3 linked regions of the Saccharomyces cerevisiae S288C genome follow. The gene in region 3 interacts genetically with the main gene of each other region. Each region holds a gene or a part of one and is shown on either strand. Other genes may lie near its edges.

The links.
Region 1: mutations in YIR020C (region 3) and ECM23 together harm fitness more than expected from each alone (negative genetic interaction), as found in Saccharomyces cerevisiae (one large-scale study listed by BioGRID).
Region 2: mutations in YIR020C (region 3) and HAL1 together harm fitness more than expected from each alone (negative genetic interaction), as found in Saccharomyces cerevisiae (one large-scale study listed by BioGRID).

The regions. Positions count from the first base shown.
Region 1 is NC_001148.4:509,176-512,238, reverse strand, and holds ECM23 (Ecm23p), read right to left. Parts: upstream 1,139-3,063; coding exon 575-1,138; downstream 1-574. Other genes in the region: ssDNA endodeoxyribonuclease RAD1, read right to left, coding at 2,240-3,063. UniProt on the Saccharomyces cerevisiae protein: Involved in morphogenesis. May be involved in cell wall organization and biogenesis.
Region 2 is NC_001148.4:565,213-568,607, forward strand, and holds HAL1 (Hal1p), read right to left. Parts: upstream 1,460-3,395; coding exon 575-1,459; downstream 1-574. Other genes in the region: methylisocitrate lyase ICL2, read right to left, coding at 2,057-3,395. UniProt on the Saccharomyces cerevisiae protein: Involved in salt tolerance.
Region 3 is NC_001141.2:393,712-396,588, reverse strand, and holds YIR020C (uncharacterized protein), read left to right. Parts: upstream 1-2,031; coding exon 2,032-2,334; downstream 2,335-2,877.

The DNA.
Region 1 (3,063 bases), on a different chromosome or scaffold from region 3:
TAAACCACTTGAAAATAAATCATAAGAATAGCATAAGCACCAGCTCAATTTAGATGTCTGTACAAAAAGTAATATATTTTAGAGATGAGCAGGCAGAACCACACATTAGTGACGATTGTCTTCGACCTTATGTGGAATCTTAAGCTTTAACATATAAGTAAAAATTTTTATTTTCAACAAAAGATTAGAACGAAATGAAATTCCTTAATTGAACCTTCTCTTGGATATCAATCTATTGGCAATCATTCCTAGAGAATATATTATTGAGTGAAAACTGTAGATACGTGCTAAGCGGTAAAGCCCTTATGAACATCGTCACACTATCTCTATATTGAGCCTCCGTAAATTTCGAATCATTTGAAATTCATTTTTCCTGGTAGGAAGATACTTGATAGTGGAGGATAAGTAAAGTAAATTGTGGTTATCATTTATTTGGTGGTAAAGTACCTTTTTTATGTTTTTTTTGAAGATGGAAATTCAGGCATTTTAAAAAAATAGAAAGCTCGAAATATCTCAAAAAACATAAAAATAGAGGAAGAATCCGCTGAATATACCATCTTTACAAACTACTTAACTATTTATTTTTAAATATAAAATTTTTAGTACCATCATCGGAGGATTGTTGCGATCGTATTTTTTTCTCCATTTTTTTCCTATATGCTATGCCACATCGACTACATAGCTCAACATTTCCATTAGGTCCACTTCTCCACTGAGAAGTCCAGGTGTCACCACAAGTGGCGCACTCTTTTGGTTGACCGTTGGGGAGTATAGTTTGTTTCTTCCTACTTTTAGGTCTATATCCTGCTAAAGATTTCTTTCCATTGGATGATATTGGTAGTGATGAAAAAGATGGGGCTGGTAGAATAGAGGGGTTATGCAAAGGCCCACCAAGACGACTTTCTTCCTTCAATTTTGGACTCAGCGCACTATTTAAGCTTTTGATCTTCTGTTCAAGAATATCTGCTCTTTTTAAATCTGGCGTGACACCAGATTTCGGGATACTGGCTACTGAACAGCAATAATTGGGATTAGCGGCAATGAACAGAACCATTTGTACAAAACGATCGAAGTGGAATTTCGTTCTACGACCAGAGCTACTAGCGCCGCTTGTTCCCTGCTCTTTGTTATATAACATAATATGATTTAAAAGTTCTATCACTCAGCACTACAACGCAGTATTTTTATTCTAGATGACCAGTATAGCAAATATTGTTACCCTTGAGATATTGGTAATTTAACCAAATCTCAAGTCATAAATGCCTCCCTTTTAAGTTTACATAGGCAGTGGACAGATTGGTACATCATATTAAAGGAAATAATGAACGCTAAAAAGAATGCCTTTTACTGACACATTCACTTTTAATACGAAAACGGATTTTGTGGTATATGACGTTGAGCACTGCGTGGTTTTCTGTGAATCCGCCGTGCCTAAAATGGACCCTTAATTATTTAACAATAGACCGGCCCGAATAATGTTAACATGAAGGGAAAAGTGCACATAACTGCAAACTACTTTGGTAGGTTGATTATCAGAGCTAAGCCATCCTACAGGTAATGATTTCCAAATTTTTTCTTAAGTAAAAAAGTTCAGAAAATAGAAGAAATATAAAATTTAAAAGGAATTACTGTTTACGAGACACATCGTTCATTCTTGGATAAATATACAAATCTACTTAAGAAAAAGCTTTCCTTATTTGTTGTTTCCTACTTTGTACCATTTGGTTTATTATATATCGTTGTGGAAAAGAAACTTGGTCTCTTGAATCTTAGTCGCAAAAGAAAATTTTTACCCACATAGGTAATGGAAAAGAGACAAAATTATTTCTGGACCTTATTCAAGAGGATGAATTTGAAGCATTTATTAATAATGAATATGATTGTGCGCTTCTAAGAAAAACTCACGGGTAATTTGGCTTAAAATGATTCACTAATGCCACGCTCAGATTCCACCAAATACGGTTAAAAAATCAAAAATAAATGAACTTCATTTGGTCATTTTTACTGCTAAAAAGTGGAAGATGAATTGCGGATGATATGAAAAATTTGAGTGAATAAACTATGAACGCGAAAAAAAGAATATATATGCGGAATAAAATATCAAAGTAAAAGATTCAAAGAGCATGTCTAACTTATAACATATACGGTCGAAGTCACCAAATGAATATTGTTATTTTCACTATAGTTAATCGCATTTTATACTGATGTTTTAACAGGGTTCGTTAAATTAAACAATATTTTACACAGGTGCTTCAGGAACATCATTATGATGATCATGTAAAGCGTTATCATCAGTGGTCTTACCAGGAGATTCAAGATTTTCATCTGTTGACTCTTGTTCTTGTTCTTCTTTTTCTGTTCTCAAGAAGTAGTATATTCTATCCGTCAAATCTTCGTCATTAATAAGTTCATTAATCTCATTCCATGAAAGCTTTTGAAGCTTATTGAAGCTCTTGATCTTTTTGCGGAGATTGAAATAATCAATTTTTGACACTCCAGGAACATTCAACAGTCTCTTGAATTTAGACTCGTTATCACCATCCTTCAGGCCCTTTGCAGTGCTATTAAAATCCGATCTAACTTTATTCGTTCCCAATATAACTGCATTACTAGGGTCAGGTTGCTCACGTCCTAATTTCAACTCTAGGATTATATTTACAGTTTGCAGGGGTGAGGAAGACCATATAATCTTTAAAGTGGGAAACCGCAATACTAATTTGGCTAGTTTTAGCTGAATTTCATCCTGGGATAACTTGCTTGATATAGGATGAACAGTTGATATGTCTTTATTCTTATAATTTCTACGTTCACTAAAAGGTTCTAAAGAAAACGACTGTCCTTCATCAAACTCAATCAATAGTGTCGGATATGCATAGTATTTTAACATTTTTTTACATTGGTTGGCTAATCTGTTATTCTGTAATGACCCAATTAAGTCAGAAATCGATTTTCTTTCGAGACAAATATCAGGAGTTATCACATAATCGCCGACTGTCAACATACAAGGAATAACCCTTATGCCATATCGGTAGAGTAAGCCTGGTAATGAGGCATTAAACTCAC
Region 2 (3,395 bases), on a different chromosome or scaffold from region 3:
CATATACAATATGCGAGCAGACTTTGTCCATTAAGCCAAGTAACAACAAAAGAACCAAAAAAAGGAAAGTATCTCGTCTCTGTTGAGTAATTCTTATATCTTGCAAGATTTAATTCTCACTACTAATACGGAACTCAATCAAAGTGGCTTAATCCCAAGACATGCATTGAATACGGTATCATTGGCTGTTGACAGTTTAAGAAAAGTAGTTGTCACGTTCCTGAGGTTACTGGGGACAAGGGAAAGTAGATACTCGTCTTACGAAATTGGATATAGTTACTCTCTAATGCTCAATCCATGTAAAGCATGAATCATCTCAACAGAAAAATCTGGGAGAGCATATTTGCAACAAAAGAATCCAAATATCAGTATATAATTATATAAGTGAGCTAAGAAGTGAACAAAAGAAAAGGAAGAGGGGAAAAATTTTGGCTGGACTTGTAGAACGATAGAACGAAAGAGTCCAAGGGGGAAGTAATAAAGTTATTGAACGAAACAACAAAAATTCGATGGAGATATTAACAAATGCATAGCAGCGCAGCTAACCGACCCGAAGCTAGTACCAACGAATTTTTCAACTATTCTGTGTTGATTGTCTCCTTTGCAACACCGAGCTCTTCAGTATTCTCAGCTGAAAGTTATTATTGAAATCACGTTGGGGACTTTCATGATCTAGTGGTCTTGGTGAGTAGCATTTAATATTTTGACCATTGAAAGGGCATCTCTCAATTGGAGAAAGGCCACTCTTAGGGATAGGCGTTTTAACAATCTGTTTATGGGATGAATGATATATTTTTGAGGATGGATTCACGATACTGATATGTTTCCCGTCCGCATTATTCGGATATGTAGTGCCTTCTTTCGATAAAATAGATGCCAATCCTGGCGTATGCTTTGTTTCGATGACGGAGCTTACCAATTTTTCACTTCGTATTTTCGATGAGTTCTTATTTTTACATTTGACGTTCAATATTCCGACATACGTCTCTCTTTCTGAAATGTTGGAACTCTGTGGCCTTGGATTTGGTGTTTTTTCACCCGAAAAATTGTTGATAACTGCACTTTTCTTTGAGGTACTACTATTTATATCTTCCTGCTCTTTTGTTCCCCGCTTAAGATGTTTTGGATGGCAAGTTTCAATAAACTGCGGTTTTATTCCTGCTTCTGAAGAGGTGCCCGAGATGTGAACCTCATTTCCACCACTACCAGTATAAGTAAAGTAGTCCGTACCTTCTTTTCCAAAGTCATTTGAGGAATATACCAAAAAAACACCTTCCTTTACTTGAAAGCGATCCACGAATGGGAAAGTATCCCCTTCCGAAGTCACATCTGAGGGAACAAATTTTAAAACATATGAGATGTTGTTTTCATCCACGGCATCATAAAATTTACAGCAATTATTCTCATACATCAAGTTTTTGAGAGTGTAGTCATGCAATCCTAAATCTTTGAAATGCATCTGATCTATTTGTTTCTGTATTTCTCTTTTCTTGAGTTATATAAACGGAATGATTAGTAGTTTGGCAGAATTTATAGCAAGTATTAAATAGTTGAATACCTCAATATTCTCCATAATAAACGCCATATCGTACATAAAGGCTAAAACAAGAATGCCTGATACCGTTCTGCTTTTTGTTTTATCTTTCCCTATATTTTCTTTCCCTTTTGATGCTTTACGTAATTTTTCCCGGCATATGTGAGCTTCCTAATAGACTCTATTTTTATTTTTCCCTTTCAAAGTGCGAGAGAAATACACACAACCAGCCTACGCTTATTTTCACCCATACCGTCATACGCCATATGATATATAATGTGAAACAAACGCGGGGAAGAGCGCGACACGACAGCTTAGCAGGGGCATTCCACGCAACACCTGAAACTTTAAGTAAAACTGTTTCTGCGAGGATATCTTGGCAAAACAAACACTAACTTTCGAACTAAATATAGTGATCGTGGTCATAAATTAATAAAAAGAGGATAAATAGAGATAAAAGAGATATGTGACTAAGTTGCTGGCAATATGTATTATTTATACTTTTATCTTCTTGAAGCGTATTCAAAATTGCGTTTCGGTAAAGCTCTCACCAGATGTACTTAAAGTTTGGGATGAAGCACCGTTTTGGACAACTTTCATTAAGGAATCAACATATTCTGCACCAGACCATAGCTGGTGTGTCATGATATCACAATTAGTCTCCTTTTCCCGTTTTTGCACTTTTTCGACGTATGCTTTCATTCCGTCACTTTGGAAGCTATTGGCTAATTCCCAGAATGATACTCCATCTGAATGCAGACCGGCAAGGGAAACCAGTTGCAACGTGAAGCCTTCTTTTGCCAAGTCCCATACGAAGGATTTTAATGCCTTATCATCAAAGCCGTGAGCGCTCCAATTGAAACTAGGAGATAAGTTATATACTAGCTTGGTAGCTGGAAGTTGTTTATGAATTTTTCTTGAAAATGAGCGTGCCTGCTCCAGGTCAGGAGTTTTCGTTTCCAGCCAAATCATATCAGAATATGGGGCAAACACCAAAGATCTTCTAATAGCTGCTTCAATACAACCGTTAAACATGTAATATCCCTCTTTGGTCCTCGGAGCATCCCAGTCAAATATAATTTTCTTTAGTGGTGTCACTTCTTGAGCTAAAAGTTTCATTTCTCTTAAGCTTAGGTATGCTCTACCCAGCTTGTTTACCATAAGGTCTTCCTTCTTTTCTTTATAGCTTTCAAACTCGCTTGCCGTAAACTGCTTTTCTAAGGCCTCTTCAAATGTAAACAGCTCATTTTCATGGTACCATTCTTTTTCCATGTCAGCAATGGCGGAGTTGGGAATTTTTTTGTCCTCCATCTCAATCAATTTTTCGCTCCAAGGCACCACGTTATCTCTTATTATACCCCTAATGAATTCGTGGTCTCTCGGATCACTGCTTGAACTCAACAGCTTACCATTACAGGAATCTGTTCTTGCAATAACCAAATTTTCTGTCCCCATGATATCCCATTGAAACCTGGTGGAAATCAATCTCATAAGATGTGTTGCTGTGGGCACCAAAACAGCCCCACTTAGATGGCCACACCTTTTGCCTCCCACCATCTGATCTTCAAGATGAATACCAGCAGCCCCTTTCTCCGCAAACAACTTAGCAACTTTCATTACAGTCGTTGGGCCACCGTGACCCATGTCTGCGTCCGCGATAATTGGTTTTAAATAATCAACAGGAGTAGAACCTTTGATGGAGGCCTCCAAGAAAGCCTTTCGATCGTGCAATTGCTGCGCCTTGAATATTCTCTCCACTTGATTCGGCACAGTATCGTATGGATAATCGCCAAAATCCGGCGATACTTCATTTGTAGATCCAACTAATGTGGAAGAACAAGCCCAACCAGATATGTAAGCA
Region 3 (2,877 bases):
AAATCTGAATAACAATTTGGCTGCTAGAAGTTAAAAAGTAGGCGCTGCAATGATTATGTGGTATGATCAGATTGTGTCGCAACGCTCAGCGGGGTTTTGGCTCAATGGGACCGCTGCTAATAAAACGTTTAACTAGCGAATTTTGGAACACACCGGTTGACAAAAGTATAAGGAGTCTCTTTCCGTGAGTTCCCCTCTTCCTCTCACTGCACTTCAACTATGCCTTATAGCAACCAAGAAGCTAGAAAATGCCAACTATTAAAAAGATAACCTCTTTGGAAGCAAATAAAACGGAGATTATCTTGGGATCTATTTCACAAATTTACGGCTAATTGGAATGAACAGCGCCAAGTAGCACTGGTCAAACTGCAGAGAGTATTAGAACTTGCTTTATTCCGTATATCGTACTTTAGGTCGTCAGTTTTACCACTTCGGTACGCAAATGAAAATGAAAAGCTCATTCACAACTTAGACACAATTTCGCCGTTTACAAGTAGCTGAAAAGTCCATCTATCGAATTATGAATGATACTATTTTAAATATAGTCGTTGCTGCACTCGTTTTCCATGTTCTTTTTATCCACACATCCGATGTTTTACTTACAGTTGAGCATCTCAGGGCCAGCGACAAATATAAACATATTATACTCAAAATGAAGCTCGTTGAAAAGAGGATATTTCTTAACCTCTTTTACAGTGCTTTCAACACCTTTTCATCTGTGTGCCATGTCAGATTAAGGATGCTCAACTTTTCGAATTATTATTACAAATTTCAAAGAAATTACTAGTCCTTTTTGTCCCCTAATGTATCCCTCATTTCATACCGTCGTTTTGGGGTTCCAACTACGTATAGCTTTCAAGTGTGGTTTTACGGTAAGAACAACCCCCCATCGGTTAGTGCGGAATACTTTCCTATTCTCATCGAGAGCCGAGCCATACACCTAAGGTGGACAGAAAGCTAAAATTCCAAAACAGAAAAATCTAACATCTTTGCTCCCTTACAAGTAGGAACGCTAGCGTATCAACCCATCTCCAGATTTGCCCAGCATTTCTGTAGAACACCCAATGCGAATGAAGACTAATGAATATTGTAAAGACAAAAAATAGGAAAAGTTTAATTAGTGATGGTTCTCACCACCCCAAAACGGTCACTTGCATGCATTGAGGACATGCACCTGCAGTACTTGTTTTTCTCGAATGTTTTTTACCATCTCTTTTTTCCTTATCTGAGCTGCTGACGCAGACGGACATTGTTTCATATTTCGAAAGCTGTGCGGGAAAACGGACCCTAACACGAATGTGAATGCGCTAATCGGTATTTCCACCACATGAAACCTGCTACTTTTTCAGTCCTCTTCGTATGCATTTCCCAAAATTCATTCGTAGCCTTGTCAACTTAGACTCAGTTCCACGGCGTGCAGGACGGGGTATTATGAATAAAAGGATCCACGGGTGAGATTTGTTTTATGTTTTAGGTATGGAGTTTTGTACCACAAAACTTTAGGAATACCGGATTGTGTGCCTACGCCAGCCCCAGAGTATGTTCTCACAGCTGTAATTCCTAGTGATCTTTTCCTGACTCCAATAGGAACGCCGGTAGGCAAATTAAACTTTCGCGGCAGGAAAAAAAAGGCTTTTTCTTTTTTGCCTTTCAGTTTCTCGGAATGTGGCATTACATAAGCATAATCCTTTTTGGGTGTGCCTGGAAAGTTCAAATTAAGGTTTTTTTCTTCTGTTTTCTTAACAAGAAAATGTCGCCCAAAGAGTTTCGGCCGTTATTTTCCTATCGAGTGGGTCCTTTTTGTCTTTAGTCCTTCTCTGGGGCTAGCGATCACTGCAAAATTAGGCTTTACTGGTACGAGTTAACTTTTTTTCTTTTTTTTGTCATCCTTTTCTTTGGGGCTAAGAATGGACTTCCCTTTTCTTTTTCTTTGTTGCGACAGTGGCTTCAAAGAACTGCTGATTGCTCAAGGCAATCAGTCCGAGCGTTTAGAAGGTGATTGTAGGCAGAAATTAACTTTGCGGTAAAAGAATGACATTCTTTCTTAAAAGAAAAATTAGCTTTTTTTTGTCAGGCATTGCACAAACTTTTTTATTTCTGCCTATACTCTTAAACAGATCAGTCATTCATGTTGTCTTTTTAACGGTCGTACTGGGACATCGCATACCTTGGGATTCCGTAATTAGGTGCAACAATACGGGCACAACTCATTCTGCGGTATCTTCACGGACAGAACTTCTATTGCCTATCGGTGGTGTGATTAACAATTGGAAGCGCAGAGCTTGGAATGGATTTTCAATTCAATGGATTTGGAGGTATTCGTTTGTTTACTAATATTTACTTTGAGGACATTGCCCAACCCTAAAAGTGCCTGCTCAAGAATAGAATAACATTATGATACGTTTTCTTGACCGCTGAGCAATTTAAAGCAACTATTAGGGTACGATTGTTTCTAGAGAAATGTGGGTCATCTTTTTAGGTCCGTTCTCTTCTGATGAGGTAACCTTTACAAAAATGTCATAGAGTTACCAATTGGGATTCAAGGCATCATCGCAATATACTTCGTTCTTTTACGGAGAAATTAAGCTCTTTCTACTTTGAATTAACTGTTAGACTTGTCTTATCTGAGGAATGTCCGTGTTCGAATTAAATAAAAAATTAGGGCAGTTTTATTTACCTTAACAAATATGTTCAAGCATTTACGTTACTGCGCTCTCTTCTAGTTCAAGAACGGATAACTCATAGACTTACCAGTACAAATTGTTGAAGGGTTCCCAATTGATAAAAAGGATCTCTTGCTTCCTAAAATAAACGTATAAAAAGCACCCTATTCATCAGTTATTATCCCTCGTCATGTTGTGGTTCTAATTAAAATAT